2 linked regions of the Alligator mississippiensis genome follow. The protein of the gene in region 1 interacts with the protein of each later gene in a pairwise test. Links are inferred from orthologs where the notes say so. Each region holds a gene or a part of one and is shown on either strand. Other genes may lie near its edges.

What was found. The genes of interacting proteins can lie anywhere in the genome.
Region 2: the proteins of FCHSD2 (region 1) and ABCF3 interact in binary tests that used the Homo sapiens proteins (3 or more experiments, as listed by UniProt). The two-hybrid records come from large-scale screens. The link is inferred for Alligator mississippiensis from reciprocal best matches to the Homo sapiens genes FCHSD2 and ABCF3.

Annotation. Positions count from the first base shown.
Region 1 is NC_081824.1:468,073,793-468,081,683, reverse strand, and holds the start of FCHSD2 (F-BAR and double SH3 domains protein 2), read right to left. Parts: upstream 3,173-7,891; 5' UTR 2,244-3,172; coding exon 2,184-2,243; intron 1,781-2,183; coding exon 1,683-1,780; intron 1-1,682. UniProt on the Homo sapiens protein: Adapter protein that plays a role in endocytosis via clathrin-coated pits. Contributes to the internalization of cell surface receptors, such as integrin ITGB1 and transferrin receptor.
Region 2 is NC_081830.1:83,797,588-83,805,166, forward strand, and holds the start of ABCF3 (ATP-binding cassette sub-family F member 3), read right to left. Parts: upstream 3,140-7,579; 5' UTR 3,084-3,139; coding exon 3,011-3,083; intron 2,801-3,010; coding exon 2,653-2,800; intron 2,512-2,652; coding exon 2,432-2,511; intron 2,059-2,431; coding exon 2,006-2,058; intron 580-2,005; coding exon 482-579; intron 346-481; coding exon 223-345; intron 1-222. Other genes in the region: matrix metalloproteinase-23-like, read right to left, coding at 6,246-6,498, 6,984-7,104, 7,366-7,476.

The DNA.
Region 1 (7,891 bases):
GCATCACCAGGTTTCTGGAGTCTTTTAGAAAGCAATGCCCACTGGAGCTGCAGGACCTCTCACATACAGGACCTGATATTCAGACCAACTTTATTTTGTGGCCCTATAGTCCCAAAAAAACCCCAGTTACATCTAACTGCCAAGAAAGAACTGTAACAATCATAAACAAAGCCATTTTAGATTTTAGGCAAAAGTTCTCCTTGCTCTCTATCCATTTATATTTAAGATTTTAACACATCGTTGATGTAACGGAGCTGTCACAACCTATCACATCATTTCACGTTTAAAGAATGCTTAACCTGTAAATCCACAGAGTAATTCTGCACATGCAAAATGCTTGCAACAAGGCTGATGAAGAGACTATGTACGCTCAGTGACCACTTTACTTAAATTAATATCCCAAACCAGTTTCTATATTTGAAAAATTAAGATTTCCAAATTAGTTCAAGAAAGAAATTTGAAATCTGAGTTTGTACTTGTAACTAAGCATTGTTTAATGACATGACAGCATTTATGTGCTATGTTCCAGTAAAACACACCACCAAGGGCCTGAATTTGAACTCTGTGAACTAAGGGGATACCAGAGAAATGCTGGGCAGAACTGGGCTCCAGCCAAGCTAGCAGGTGCAGATGTTATAAAATTAAGTTCTTATCCAAGGAAAAAAAAATCTTTGCATACCAGTCTGCTACTCATTAACCAGTATTTACTGTGTAAACAATGCATAGTCACTACTTGTAGTCCAAGATAATAGATGCTGTGATCTTTCCATAAAGAAGCTTCTTTCAATAGCCAGGAAAGAAAGAGGGGATCTGATAAGATTATGAACGCATGAATTTCTGTTTCGACAGGTTTCATACGCAAGGGATACATAGAGATAACACCTGTATGATATCCTCCTGAAGTTGAACTGCCACTTGATTAGTTTTTAATGAATAAATAATACGTAATTATCTCCAATCACGCAGGATTTTCATTTAATGAGCGGAATATATCGTGCCAAAGAGATGGACAGCAATAGTTGTATTGATGAATATGACTGTTTCACAGCATGACCAGTCTAGAAGTTGACTGCCTCCAACCACGGTTACTGATTCATTTCCGCATATAATGCAAAGTGTGTATTAGTCCTCACAGACATTTTGATCACAAAACGCTAAAAGAGAATCAGGTTATTTAAAGACAAACAAAACTGTGGTTTGTTACATGCAGACCTTTTCCACTGATCCTAACATGCAAAGGAATGCAAGAAAAATATTTTAATATCAATGTAAATATCTTACATTTTATATTAAATGAACGCCATCCAAAATTACTTGTAGCTAACTATAAGACTTCACCAGTTTACACAGTATTTTATAAAGATTTGCTTTATACTCTTAGTGGCATCACAAAAAGCAAACTAAACTGTCAGTTTATTCTAGAAGAGAAATACTGCTGAAGAGATCAATATTTTCCGGATTTCTTCATGACACATTTTTATAACTTTCCCCATTGAAGAGAAGAAAAATGGTTTGCATTGTGTTAGTTCCAGTTATAATTTCCAGCTGTGTGAAAGCTTGAACAGCTCCAAAGCAGGAAATCCAAGAGGAAATTCCATCATCAGTTCCCGGAGTTTTGTAACCCAAATGTTCTTCCAAAAGGAGATCTTACAGGAATCTGGTAGCATTTTCTGTAACCTTACCTCATATCTTCAAGTAGATCACATTCTGCCTGATGCTTGGCCTGCAGCTTTGTCATCTGCTCAACCTGAATGTTTTTTAGCTCCTGTGTAACTTTCACCTACAAAAAACACAGACCGTATTTTTTCTCTAGATTCTAACTGCAATCTCAAAATAAAACAATATTTTATGTCCTTAACTACAATTTGCGTATTCGAACAAGCAACAGGATCATAAACATTGTCAGCATGTGTAAAGCTAGTTTGTTAGGTCATTTAATCCTATGTAAAGACTTAATTACAGACCAATTCCAACATACATTCCTTGGCAAAGTCCACATTTCATATACTAGGCCCCCTCAGAGCTCTGCCTTGCTGTTAACAACAAATACGCGTGGTTTTTAATTCCAGGCTTCTAAATATAAGCCTGTCTAAAGCAAAATCAGTTCAGCAACACATGACTTAAGACAAAGAAGAGGGCCAGGGGAAGAAACAATCAATCAAAACCTTAACATTTAAACTTACACAATTATGAAATAGGCATTGATTAAAATGGCTCCATGAACAAGCTGCCTTTAAATACATTCATCTGGTTGACAGGACATCAGATCAAGAGCCTTTCTTCTCCTTAAGTTTGACTTCTAAACATTTTTAAGACAAGCATTATAGTCCTTTGAACCTCCCAATGTTAAGGCCAAGCTTTCAGTCATCAGGGAACTTGAGTGATATTTGGCAGGGGGTGGGAGGTGGGAGGAACTGTTGTGATAAACATCAGCACCAAAAATAAAGGTTGATCTGAGCACAGAAAACTGGATTTTTAAGACAAGGCATCTTGGAATGTATGGCTGCCTTCAGTAATTAAGGGGAAGCCATGTGGCAGCCTAAAAAAAACAGAATCAATGCATCTAAAGATGTGACATATGCATAAAAATGAAAATGTGTAACAGTCCCGCTGTGGGGGAAGGGGAAGAGAGCAAGACAAGGAGGAGGTGAAGGGAAGGATCTGACACACACCTCCGCTCTCCTCTCAAGCAAAGCAGAACGGCATTTCAGACTTGGTCTGCTAGCAACAGCACCCCCACGCAATTCGAACACCAACCATAAACCCCAGAATCACTACAGAAAGAGACACGTCTCTCACCTTCACACAGACACACACAGACACACAACCTGTGCTCTGACCAAGCAGGAGGAAGATCTAATTATATTTTTAATCAGGGAAATACTGAAACTTCTTTTGCCTTAAATTAAAAGCCCATTCAAAATAAATAAATAAAACCTTTGCAAAAGCTAAACGGTGCAATGGAAAGAAAATCTGCACAGAAATAAAATTGAGGCAGGCAAAGAAGAACGCACACGCAATATAAATAAGCTGCCCAGTGCAAACTAAAACCCAATGAAGCGTTAGCGAGACCCTGCGAGAGGAGCAGCGTCCATCCTCCGAACAACAGAGGCAGAAGAGCAAGACAGGGAGCCGTCCCACTGCAGCCGCCCGACTACCGGGGAGCGACAGGAGACAGCCGTGCGCCTGCAGCCTTTTGTTTACACACCACCGGCCCCCCAGCAGCCCTCACCTGCAGGTAGCTCCTTCCCCACCTGCCGGCCCCCCACGGCTCTGTGCCCCCGCAGACCCCAAACTGCCCCTGCCCCCGCCACGCCACTGTATCAGCACCTCAGCCAACTCCACACAACCCCTGCCTCAAGGTTACAGCCCCCACGTGAGGCAACCCCCCAAATACACTCACCAAAGCAGCTGGCCCTCCCTCCCTCACCCACTGCACACCCCAAGGGACCACCGCCCCCAATGGCCCTGCCTTCGCCCTGCGACCCCCGGCGCACGCCGTGCAGCCGCCCACCAGAACCCCCGGGGCCCTCCCCGCACACCTCAGCCTGCCCGCGCGCCGCCCCCACATCTGCACCGCGCCCCCAGGCCTCCCACCGCCTGCCCTGCGCAGCAGCCCCAGCTCCCCACCAGGCCCCACACACCCCATCTCACGGCCACCAACCCTGTGCCCTGGCCCTGGCCCTGCCCCGTCGCGGCTGCCCCCACCCCACCCCGGTCACCCCATTGCAACCTACCTTCACCCACCCCAGCCCCCCAGGGCAACCTAACCTACCCCATGAAGTGCAACTGTTACCTCCAGGGCAACCTAACATACCCCATGAAATGCAACTGTTACCCCCAGGGCAATCTAACCTACCCCACAAAGTGCAACCTACCCTACCCCCCCCAGGGCAACCTAACATCACCTACCTCCATCCCCCAGTGCAACTTACCCTACCCCACTTAGTGCAACCTACCCTACCCCCCCAGGGCAACGTAACATCACCTACCTCCATCCCCCAGTGCAACTTACCCTACCCCACTTAGTGCAACCTACCCTACCCCCCACGGCAACCAAACTTACCCCACGAAGTGCAACCTTCCCTACCCCCCCCCCAGGGCAACCTAACATCACCTACCTCCATCTCCCAGTACAACCTACCGTACCCCACGAAGTGCAACCTATCCTACCCCCCCAGGGCAACCTAACCTACCCCATGAACTGCAACCTACCCTACCCCCCCCGGGCAACCTAACATCACCTACCTCCATCCCCCAGTACAACCTACCGTACCCCACGAAGTGCAACCTATCCTACCCCCCCCAGGGCAACCGAACTTCACCCACCTCCATCCCCCAGTGCAACCTACCCTACCCCACCATAGTGCAACCTACCCTACCCCCCCAGGGCAACCTAACGTCGCCTACCTCCATCCCCCAGTGCAACCTACCCTACCCCACATAGTGCAACCTACCCTACCCCCCCAGGGCAACCTAACATCACCTACCTCCATCCCCCAGGGCAACCTAACCTACCCCACGAAGTGCAACCTACCCTACCCCCCCAGGGCAACCGAACTTCACCCACCTCCATCCCCCAGTGCAACCTACCCTACCCCACGAAGTGCAACCTACCCTACCCCCCCAGGGCAACCTAACGTCGCCTACCTCCATCCCCCAGTGCAACCTACCCTACCCCCCCAGGGCAACCTAACATCACCTACCTCCATCCCCCAGGGCAACCTAACCTACCCCACGAAGTGCAACCTACCCTACCCCCCCAGGGCAACCGAACTTCACCCACCTCCATCCCCCAGTGCAACCTACCCTACCCCACGAAGTGCAACCTATCCTACCCCCCCAGGGCAACCTAACCTACCCCATGAAATGCAACCTACCCTACCCCCCCCCCAGGGCAACCGAACTTCACCCACCTCCATCCCCCAATACAACCTACCCCACTTATGGCAACCTGACCTACCCCACGAAGCACAACTGTTGCCCCCAGTGCAAGCTAACCTCACCCCCCCCCCCAAGTGCAAGCTAACCTACCCCCCAAGTACAGCCATTACGCTCCCAGGGCAACCCAACCTCACCCACCTCCACCCCCAGTACAGCGTAGCCACCCCCCAGGGCAGCCTAACCTCCCCCCGAAGTGCAAGCGCACCCGAACATCACGCACCCCAGCCCCACAGTGCAACCTAACCTACCCCCAGTGCAACCGTTACCCCCCTCAAGTGCAACCTAACCTCACCTTACCCACCCCCATCCCCCCGGTGCAACCGAACCTCACCCCGCCGCGCGCCGCGCACCCCAACCGCGGGCCGGCCCGGCGCTCACCTTCCTCGGCGGGGGCTGCATGTTGCCGGTCGCGCTCCGCACGCGCCGCTCCCGGCGGCCGGAGCAGGATGCGGCCCCGCGGCAGGAGGCGGGGCCGGCGCGGCAGGGGGAGGGGGGCGGGGCGGGGGAGGCGGAGGCAGGGTCGCAGCGCCCCCGCGCGGCCTCCGGGGCACCCGCAACCGCCCCCCCTCTCTGCGCATGCGCAGCGGAACGTCGCGCACCCACCACCGAGCCTGATCCGCCTGATTGGCTAGAGAGACCCCGCCCTCCACCATAGAGTTCAGGGGAGGGACGGGCAGCGTGGCCACGCCCCTTCCCTCCCCTGCGGGCAGGGCTACCTCCTCCCCTTGCTGCGCCCGAGGGGAGGGATTGCGCATGCGCGAGCCCCTTGTTTGCAGCGTTCGCAAGAAGCCAGCTGTTCCCACGACTTAGTTGGTTTAATGAAAGATATTGTATTTCCCCCAAGAAATGCAAAAATCCAGACCTCTTGGTTCAGAGATGAAATCTTTCATTAAACTAGATGAGAAATTGCAAAAAAATGTTTTTTTATTTATTTATTTTTATTTTTTTGCAATTTCTCAGTTGCTCTAATGAAAGGTCTCACCTCTGAACCAAGAGTTTTACATGTTTGCATTTCTTTTTGTCTCCGACCAGCACGGCTGCCAACTACGTTTACCCAAAGCATCTTGTCTGCCTCTGTCCTTAGAGCAACAGGCTACAAGCAGCTCCCCCAAAAGTTGGTTGTAGCCCAGGGGAGCCCAGGCAGCTGCTAGGGAGGAAAACGACCCCCTGAGTCCCTACCAGTTTGATCAGGGTCACCCCCCGTATGACCAAACCTACACCCAAGCCCCCCCCAGTCCCTACCAGTCCAATCAGGGTCACCCCCCGTATGACTGAACCTACACCCAAGCCCCCCCCAGTCCCTACCAGTCCAATCAGGGTCACCCCCAGTATGACTGAACCTACAACCAAGCCCCACCAGTCCCTACCAATCCAATTGGGGGTCACTTCCAGTACAACCGAAACTGCCACCAAGCCCGCCCAGTCCCTACCAGTCTGATCAGGGTCACCCCCAGTACAACCAAACCTACAACCAAGCCCCCCCCTAGTCCTTACCACTCTGATCCCTTCCTGGCAGACCCGGACGCAGGCATGGGCAAACCAAGTGTCCGCCCAGGGCCTGGACAGAAAGGGGGCCCGAAAATGAAAAAAAAAATTACAAGTTTTAATATTGCACATCTACAGGACTACTAGCAATGTTATCAATTGAGAATGAGCTTTTTAAAGACATTAGTACCACAGATGCGATAAAGACTTTTGCAACAAAAAAGTCATTCTCTCTGGCAAAGGGGGTCCTGATACAAAAAGTTTGCCTGGGGCCACTGGGAATCATGGTACAGCACTGCTTCTTGGCCCCAATGCAGCATCGGTCTGACCCCAAATGTAGGGGCAGGACCCTCCAGCCAGGAACCTCCGGGTTTGGTTGCAGCAGGATGTTCCCCATCCCCAGCCTGGGCTGCGGCAGCACCCAGTGCCTCCGAAGAAGGCCTGAAACCCCCTGACACGTGTAGCAGAAACAGAACATCAAATCCTCATAGTAGCACACAGGCATCACCCCCTGACCAGAGGCTGTACAACCTCTCCATGAACACCCCCAGTGATGGAGCATCCACAGCTTCTCCAGATGTCTTTTCCACTGCCTCTCTGCTCTCACAGTGAAGTTTTTTCTGGAGATCCAACCTGAACCTACTTTGCTGCAGCTTCAAGTCCCTGGTCCGCATCCTCCTCTCTGCAGCAAGAGAGAAAAGGTGTTTTCCCTCTTCTCGATGGCAGCCCTTCAGGTATTTTAAGACTGCTGTCATGTCCCTGCTTGAGTGCCTTTTCTGCAAGCTGAACATGCCTGGCTCCTTCAGCCTTGCCCTGTATGACTTGCCTGGGTTGTTCTTGTGAATCACATGCAGGTATTTGTACCCTTGAAGCTACACGTTTCAAGCACCCTTAAAAGCTTCTGGCAGCCCCCTTTGCTCCCACCCTGCCTGCCCCCCGGTGTTGCCGCTTCCTGGTGGAGACTCACTGGTGCAAAGGAAGAGGCAGGGGCTGTGCACAGAGGTGGTGGAGGGGCTTGGATGCCCTGCTCTAGGGAGCCTCCTGGAAGACACCTGTAGCAGTGACCAGACCGATGATTCTCCACTCTTTTCGATAGACCGAGACCTTGTAGTGGTGGAGAGGCTTACATGTCCCAGTGCTTGTCAGAGCTATGTTGCCTGGAGTCCCACACTCCTGGCAGGGTCACCCCTGGTGAACAAGCCCAAGAGGAGGTTCCAGGCAAACCACAGCCCAACCCCAACTGCTCAACAGCGGATGGGGCAAGAGAAGCTGTCAGGATCCCAATGGCTGTAAAGACAAAAGAAGGCTGCAGCGAGGTGGAGGTCTCCTGTCGTCTTGGGTTCTCCCTTGCCACGGAGCCCAGACCTCCACTTGTCAAGATCGTCCTCAGGAAGCCCATGACAGAGCAGCATAGGTGTGACATGCTAGATTCCTGTTTGAAGTCTCTGGGTTTATCTTGTGA
Region 2 (7,579 bases), on another chromosome or scaffold:
TGCAAAGGGAAGAGCCAGACATCTGCTCAGCAGCAGCCTCCAGACTTCATGGGCGGACGGGAGTTAGCTCACTGCTCAGGACAGTGCTACAAAGGCAACACACCCCTGCCCTGCCCCTCAAGCCTGTCCCATTGCCTCCCTCAAACCAGGGTATTTCCAGGCTCCCACTAGGGCATCTCTGCCCATCCTCGTCCCATGTTCCCCAGCCTCCCAAGGACTCACCGCTCACCGAAGGACACATCGAAGTTCTCAATGCGCACATCATATGACTTGTTCTTGCCCGACGACTCCATGCGTGTTTCCTTCTTGCTGGCAGCTTGGCTGGCAGACGCCTCCTCCAGGACCCTGGCACCAGAAAAGGGAGGACAAGTTTCAACGTAGGCAAAAAGCCTTTGGGCAAGTCAACCTCCCCTCCCCCACACCACATGGACCCAAGCGACTAAAAGCCTGGCTGGCTCTGGGGCACACCCTGCACACTCACAGCGGGTTACTGGACTTCAGGGTATCCTTCTCCAACCTCTTGTCCTGCTTAGCCTTCAGCCTGGCTTCGGCTTTCTGCAGCTTCTTGGCATTCACCATCTGGGGCACAAAGAAGGGGTTTAGAGAAGGCCGAGAATCCTGCAGGCATCCTCAGGCACGGGTCCAGGAGGGAGCAGCCCAGGTACTGAACACAAATCCTAGAGGCCTGGGAAGCTCCCAGGAAGGAGCAATACTTGGTGGGGCACAAGGACATAAGGGGCGAGACAGAATTAAAGCTCACTGCAGGGAAACGTCTCTAGCTGGGGACTCGCTCAGGAATGGAGTGGTCCATGGGCAAGGCTGGCCAGCGGGTGCCATGCAGATGATCTGGCAACCGTTCGTTCTGTCCCGCATATAAAACACCACAATCTCTCAGGAGCTCCGAGTGTCCCAGTCGCTTCTCCCCACCTCTCCCTCCATCAGCTGCTCCACTTCCCTGGTGACCAGAATTTCCTGCAACCTGACCCAAACTCCCACTATGTGGTCGACAAACCAAGATGGGGCTCAGAAACACTGCGCAGACTCAAAGGACCAGAAGGGACCAGGCTGATCTGCCTGACCAGCTGTAAGATTCCCCCAAACCAATTCCTTCCTCAAGCAAAACCATTATAGTTAAACTGCCGCCAATTTTCCAAACAATGTAACCTAGTATCTGGTCACACCAACTGCACCCAGCCTGCCAGGCAATACAGATCCTTCTTCAGAGAGCCTGTCCCCTCCACCCAAGGCATCTACAAGGAAAATCTTATGGTTTTACCCCAGGTCAGTGGTAAGAAGGTTAAGTAGTGAAAGACTAAGAACTGCTCACTGCAAAAAAACTGCTTCATTACAAGTCCCCATTTGCACGTACACGGAGACATATTTGTTGGGCAGCTTGTAATCAGTCTGTGCCGTGCTGACGAGTCCGTAACAGCCTGGCTGCTTAATCACAAAGCCCTACAGGAAGAAGCCAAATGCCCTGCAGAAGTCCAAGCATGCCACGTTGCCACTATTCCTTACAACCAGGCTGGCAACCCCCTCATCAACTGACACGATCTTAAATTCAACAGAATCTATAAGTTCATGTTGTTGGACATCACTCCCTGCCTGCCATTTGATTCTTTAACCATCAAATCCTGTATCATCTCCCCCTTTGTTTTGCTTGGGATGTCAGGCTGACAGGCCAAACGTTCCCTGGGAGATTGTATTTACCAGATTCAGTCCAAGCAGTCCCTGAAGTTAACCCAAACCTTGACACAGAGGAAGCAGCAGAAACACGTAGTTATGGACCTAACAGAAGACCCCCAACCTGACTAGAGAAGACCTCTAGCGGGACAGACTGGGGGAAAGCAGGGGCTCTCACAAGGTGCGAAGCAGAGGGGGCAGTTTGCTGCTCCGCGTGTTTATTGCAGCCTGGGGAGCAGTAACGGGAGCAAGGTGAGGATCACGTGCGCCACCATCTATCGTTTTTTCCAGGTAAAAATAAACCAGCGTAAGACCTCCTTACCGAGGTCTGGTCTCTCTTCAGCAGCAGCTTTGGTAACAGGTCCGCGCCCGCATCTGCAATCAAGCAGGAAGTCCGTCAGCGCGAGTTCTGCACCCTCGCGCTGGGCCCGGCTCCCGGCTCCGTGCCGCCCAGACGGCAACGAATTCACACGACTCGCTGGCAGGCGGAGCAATAGCCTGGCGCGGCAGGTGCAAACACCGAGAAAGACAGAGGCCAAACGGCTCGTCCGAGGTGACATCAGAACCTAAATCCTTACCCTGGTTCTTGCCACCGGGTCTGGCGGCCTCACGGACCTTTAGTCGCCTCCAGAGCCCCGTCAGCGGCACCAGCCCTCCCACCACCCCCAGTAAGAGTCCTGCAGGAAGGGGCAGGTCGCACGGGAGACGGGCCAGCGAGCAGCCCACCAACGCAGCCAAGCCTCCTCACCACAGCCATCCGTGATCTGGGAGAGCTGAATGGGGGCGTCCAGCAGCACCTGGTTGCAGCCCCGGGGTTTCTCGTCGTCCCTGCAACGCACACGGCGGTCAACGGGGAAGCTGCCCGGGCACCAGCCCTGCTTCCCCGGCCCCGGCCGGGACGCCGCCACAGCCGGGGGGCGAAGGCAGCACCCGCCCGGGCCCTGCCGCCCCCCCGCCGCCGGTACGCACATGTGCAGCGCGTCGTACATCCTGCGGCACACGTCCCGGATGTCCTCATCGTCTTTGGAGTCGCGGGACACGTCCTGCAGGAGCTCCCCGACCGCCTCGAACAGCTCGTCCTCCGACTCGAAATCCGCCCCGCCGCTGTGCAGCACCCCTGGGGGGGGAAGGGGGCTGAGCGCGGGGGCCTCCGCCACAAACAGGCAGCGCGGGCGGCCGGGGGCAAAGCCAGGGCACCTGCTGCACACCCCGGGCGGGGCAGGGCAGCCCCCAGTCTCTGCCCCCAGCCCTTGCCCCAGCACCTGCCCAAGCACCTACCCCCAGCCCTTGACCTAGCACCTACCCCCCAGCCCCTGCCCCAGCGCACCGGTGACGTAGGCGAACACCTCCCCGTCCAGCTCGGGGAACTCGCTGCGCAGGATGTCAGCGCACGAGGCCATGTCCCGGCCCGGCCCGGCCCCGCTCCGCTCCGCCGGGCCACGGAGTCCCGGAAAGGACAGCGCACGCAGGGGCTGCCGGGAAGGCGGGTCCGCCATGCGCGCGGGCTGCTGGGAAACAGAGTCCAGGACCCGGGGACGGGGACGCAAGGGCTGCCGGGAAGGAGGAAGCGCGGGGGCTGCTGGGACATGGAGTCCGCGAGGCGCGGGGCATGCCGGGAATGTGGGCCTGCAGGGCGAAGCTTCCCGCCTTGTGCGGAGGGGGCGCATGCGCACTGCTGCCCCACGTGGCGGCATGCTACGTGCTGCTCCAGTGCCGTTTCCCTGGTGGGGAGCAGCCTCGGCCTGCAGCCCCACGCATCCCCGACCTCCCACGGCAGCCTCGGGCGAGGGCAGATCTAGGGCTTTGCAAAGAGGCTGCGAGGGGGAGGTGCAGGATCACGTGCGACACCGTCTCTCGTTTTTCCGGTTACAAATAAATGAGAAGCTTTACTCCTCAGCCTGGACGATTCGGTTGAAGATCGAAGCCAGAGCTTCACTGGAAGTTCGCAGTAAAACCATATCGGCCTGGCCGGTGCGGTCTCCCAGCGTTCGGGGCTTGGACCGACGCGTCTTCATCGAGGACCTGGATGTGGGGGCGAAAAGCAAACTGGCAAAGCTCACCGATGACACTAAGCTGTGGGGAAGCGCGGCCGTGCATCGAAGGAGGCTGACGATCCAGGCGGCCATCGCCACGTTAGTTGGAAGCCGATGCTGTTCAGCACTGAGAAGTGTGAAGTGCTCCATCTGGGGAGGAAAAATCTGCGACAAACTTACAGGCTCGGTGGCGCTACACTAGCAAGCACCATGTGTGAAAGGGACCTGGGGTCGTAAGTGACCATAAAATGAATAGGAGCCACCGGTGCGGTGCTGCAGGTAGCAGAGCAAGCACTGCGCTGGCGTGCATCAACCGGTGCATCTCGAGCAAAACTAAGGAAGCGATTCTCCTGCTCCACTCGGCCTTGGTGAGGCCACGGCTGGAGGGCTGCGTCCAGTTCTGGGCGCCACTTCAAGAAGAACGTGGAGAAGCTGGAGGGAGTCGAGAAGAGCCACTCGTATGATTAGAAGCCTGAAGAGCAAGCCTTACGAGAAAAGGCTGACAGATCTGGGACTGTTCAGCCTAGAAAAGAGAAGACTTCAGGGGGATTTGGTGGCCGCTTACAAATATATCGGGGGTGAGCATCAGGGGCTAGATGAACAACTATTCACCAAAGCGCCCCAGAGGAAGACCAGGAGCAATGGACATAAACTCCTAGAAGGAGGTTTCAGACTGGATATAAGGAAAAACGTCTTTATGATTCGTGTGCCCAGACTCTGGAATAGACTCCCCGCGGCGTGGCGAAGGCGCCTACCCTGGAGATCTTCAAAAGGAGACTGGACGCACACCTTGATGGGGTGATTTGACCCCAGCTGCCTTTCCTGCCCAGAGCAGGGGGCTGGACCCGAGGATCTCACAAGGTCCCTTCCAGCCCTAAACTTGGGTGAATCTTTGGAATGAGTTAAAAACAAGCTGCAAGGCTGTGAAATAGGAGCTTCTGCTACCAGGAACAGCAAACAGGCTGCAGAACAAGGGACAGCTTGACAGGCGGAGCAGCAAGATAATGAAAAAGAGGGTCGTTAACACCTGTAGAGTGAAGAGTTTAGGAGGGATCAGTTCGAGCGCAACAAGCTATGAAGTCAAACGACTCCTTCAGCCGGGCCCGACTAGAAACGCTGCTGCCGCTGCCAGACAGTTGGTTTAAAACTTTGGATGGAGCAGGAATCAATGCAGGGTGCAAGCGCACCCCCTGGGCCGCAGGACCTGCCGGCCACCAGGGAAAGCCCAAGAGGAGGAAGGCATAAAGCCGTGGCCCCAGAGTGCCACCAGGGCAGGGCAGGCTGAGGATGTCTTTCTGTTTCTAAACCCCATTGTCCCCAAGATCAGGTGACAGTGATGGCGGTCTCCCTCAATGCAAAGCTGCCCCTGTATGAAGAAATAAAAACTGTAGCAGGAAGACTGGAAACCTCTCTCTCAGCTGCTGCTTTACATCATTCATGCTGGTTCATCCTTCCACCTAGCTCTGCCTTTAAAATGCCCCTGGGCTACGTGGACCCGCTGTCCATGGACGCTAGGCTTTCAAAACAGCAGATTTTGGCCCAGGAGCTCCTTCCAACACAGCATCTTTAGCAGCAATGATTTGAACTATCCCAGTTCATCGCATCCTGTACCCCGCACTGTAGGATCGAGTCCCTTAGAGCAGTTCCAGTGTGACTCTTATACCAGAGCGTGGGCTTCGAAGGGGGGCTGAGGAGCCCGCTAGAATTTGGGAGAAAGCACTTCTAAAATGCCACATCTGCTGTCATCCCCCTCACATCTGCCCCCTGCTCAGCAGGATGGCAGGAGAGAGGAGCACTTCTGCCCAGCAAGGCAACAGCAGTCACCACCAGCTACATCCCACAGGCGACAAAGTCCCAGCTGGGCGCCAGAGGGGGCTGGTGAACAGCGGAGAAACCATCCAAAGTCTGTGGCGGCCAGTCCGAATGCCGCCTCTGGCAGGCAGAGTCCCCGATCCCTGTTTGTAGTCACTGGGGGTCATTACAGGAACCCCCCCCATGCACTTTCCCGTGCAAGCTGCCCTTGCAAAAGCAAAGATTTTGCCACTAACTGCAGTCAGCCTAACGGTCACTGGCAGTGCCAGGATCACTGCTTCCAAAGGGCAGTGCGGTTCCAGGAAGGAGGGCAGAGGAACACCACTGGGGTTTGCATCTGGGTTTTAATTCAGTGCCCAGTTTGCCAGGGCTGCGGCAGGGAAGATCCAGGGTGGAAGCAGGGGGCTGAGGGGCAGGGGAAGGGGGAACACGAAAGAGCTCACTGCTTCTTGCTGCAGAAGGGACCCCTGGATCGTGCACGTGAGTGGAGAGAGAGGAGCATCCCACCCTCTCCCAGCAGACAGGCGGGAAATTGCTGCCCCAGGGCCAGAAATAGCAAGCACCATGACTCCTGCTGGCACCAGGGAAGGGCCCAGGGGAGGAGGAGTCCTTAGGGGTTTGGGGTCCGCTGCTATTCAGGAAGATGGGACAGACCCCTTTGCAGTGGGAGACCCCTGCTAGGAGCCTGGGGGGCACACAGCTAGGATCGCACACGTCTCATTGCCCTGTGGACTGGGCTTGTGCGCTCCCTTGCACATCTCCGTGGGGCCCGCGTGGCTGGGTTGGAGAAGGGGTGATGGCCTTCAGCTTGATCTGCCAGGAATTCGCACGGAGGATCTTGCCGGCGCGGCGGACCAGGCACGTGTACTGCCCCTCGCTGAGCTCAGTGGCGAGGATGCGCAGCCCCTGGCGCGGCAGCAGCTCCAAGCCAGGCACGGAGCAGGACAGGAGCTCCCCATCTTTGTACCACCTGTGGAGAAAGGGGGCAGTGGTGAGAAGTCCAGCGTAGCTGCTCTCAGCCAGCTACAGCTGCCAGCGTCCCTGCACAGGTGTGAGCACCTTCTCTGTGCCAGCCTCCTCCAGACACCGCTGAGCGCTCATCTCGCTCCCTGCCTGCTGCTCAGGGAGGGGCGCGTAGTTGATGCAGCGGTAAAGATGCAGGGACTGGTTTTGTTCAGGCTTGATCCGAACCAAGGCCCCTGGCCGCCGCTGCCATACAAGACGTCCCAGCTCAGCTGCCAGGGCCCCCATCTGCTTTGCGTCCGGAAGCGGCCGCCCTCCTCCTTCCCTCCACAGCTCCAGGAGGAGCTCCCTGCCCCGTGGAAGAGGTCTGCTTGCAGAGGCCAAGGGTCAGGCTGGGGCTTAGGCAGCTCGGGGTCAGGGGTGGTAGCTGCTGCCCGGACCCGAGTGACTGCGGGAAGGGTGCAGCCCAGCCTCTCTCCTGCTGCATCTCACCTGACGTGCAGGTGCGGCCTGGAGGAGTTCAGCCCACAATGGAAGGTGATGACTCTGCCTTCGGAGATGTACCTGGCGTGGGGAGGCCGGGCCGGGGGAGTGGGGGCGGCAGCGGGGGCCTCTGGAAGACAGAGAGATGCACAGAGCAGTGACACCAGCAGCTGTGGGGCCTCGCACCCACCCCCTGCGAGCCCTCTGTCCCCGTGGGAAGGTCTCCGCAGGCCTGGCAGGGGCAGCATCAGCGGGACATGAGGGGGTGCCAGGAGGACTTTGCCCTGGCGGGGCGGGGCTGGGCAGGGGGACGACCCCCAGCTCGGGCTCTGTGGGGAGCTGGCTGCCGTGGGCCGTGCCACTGCGTGGCTGTGGGGCGAGGGCACCTCACCGAAGCAGGAGTTGCAGATCTTGGGGCAGTGCCTCTTCATGAAGGCTGGCCGGCGCGCGCAGAACCCCAGGCGGGCCCAGGCCTCGCACTGCTGCATCTCATCCACGCAGCCTGCGGGGTTGCAGAAGGGGTTGGACAGCGCCAGCGCGAGACCTTGCAGGCAGCGCCTGGGGGAAGCCACCTTTTGCCCCCCAGGACCACAGCTGCTGGGGGC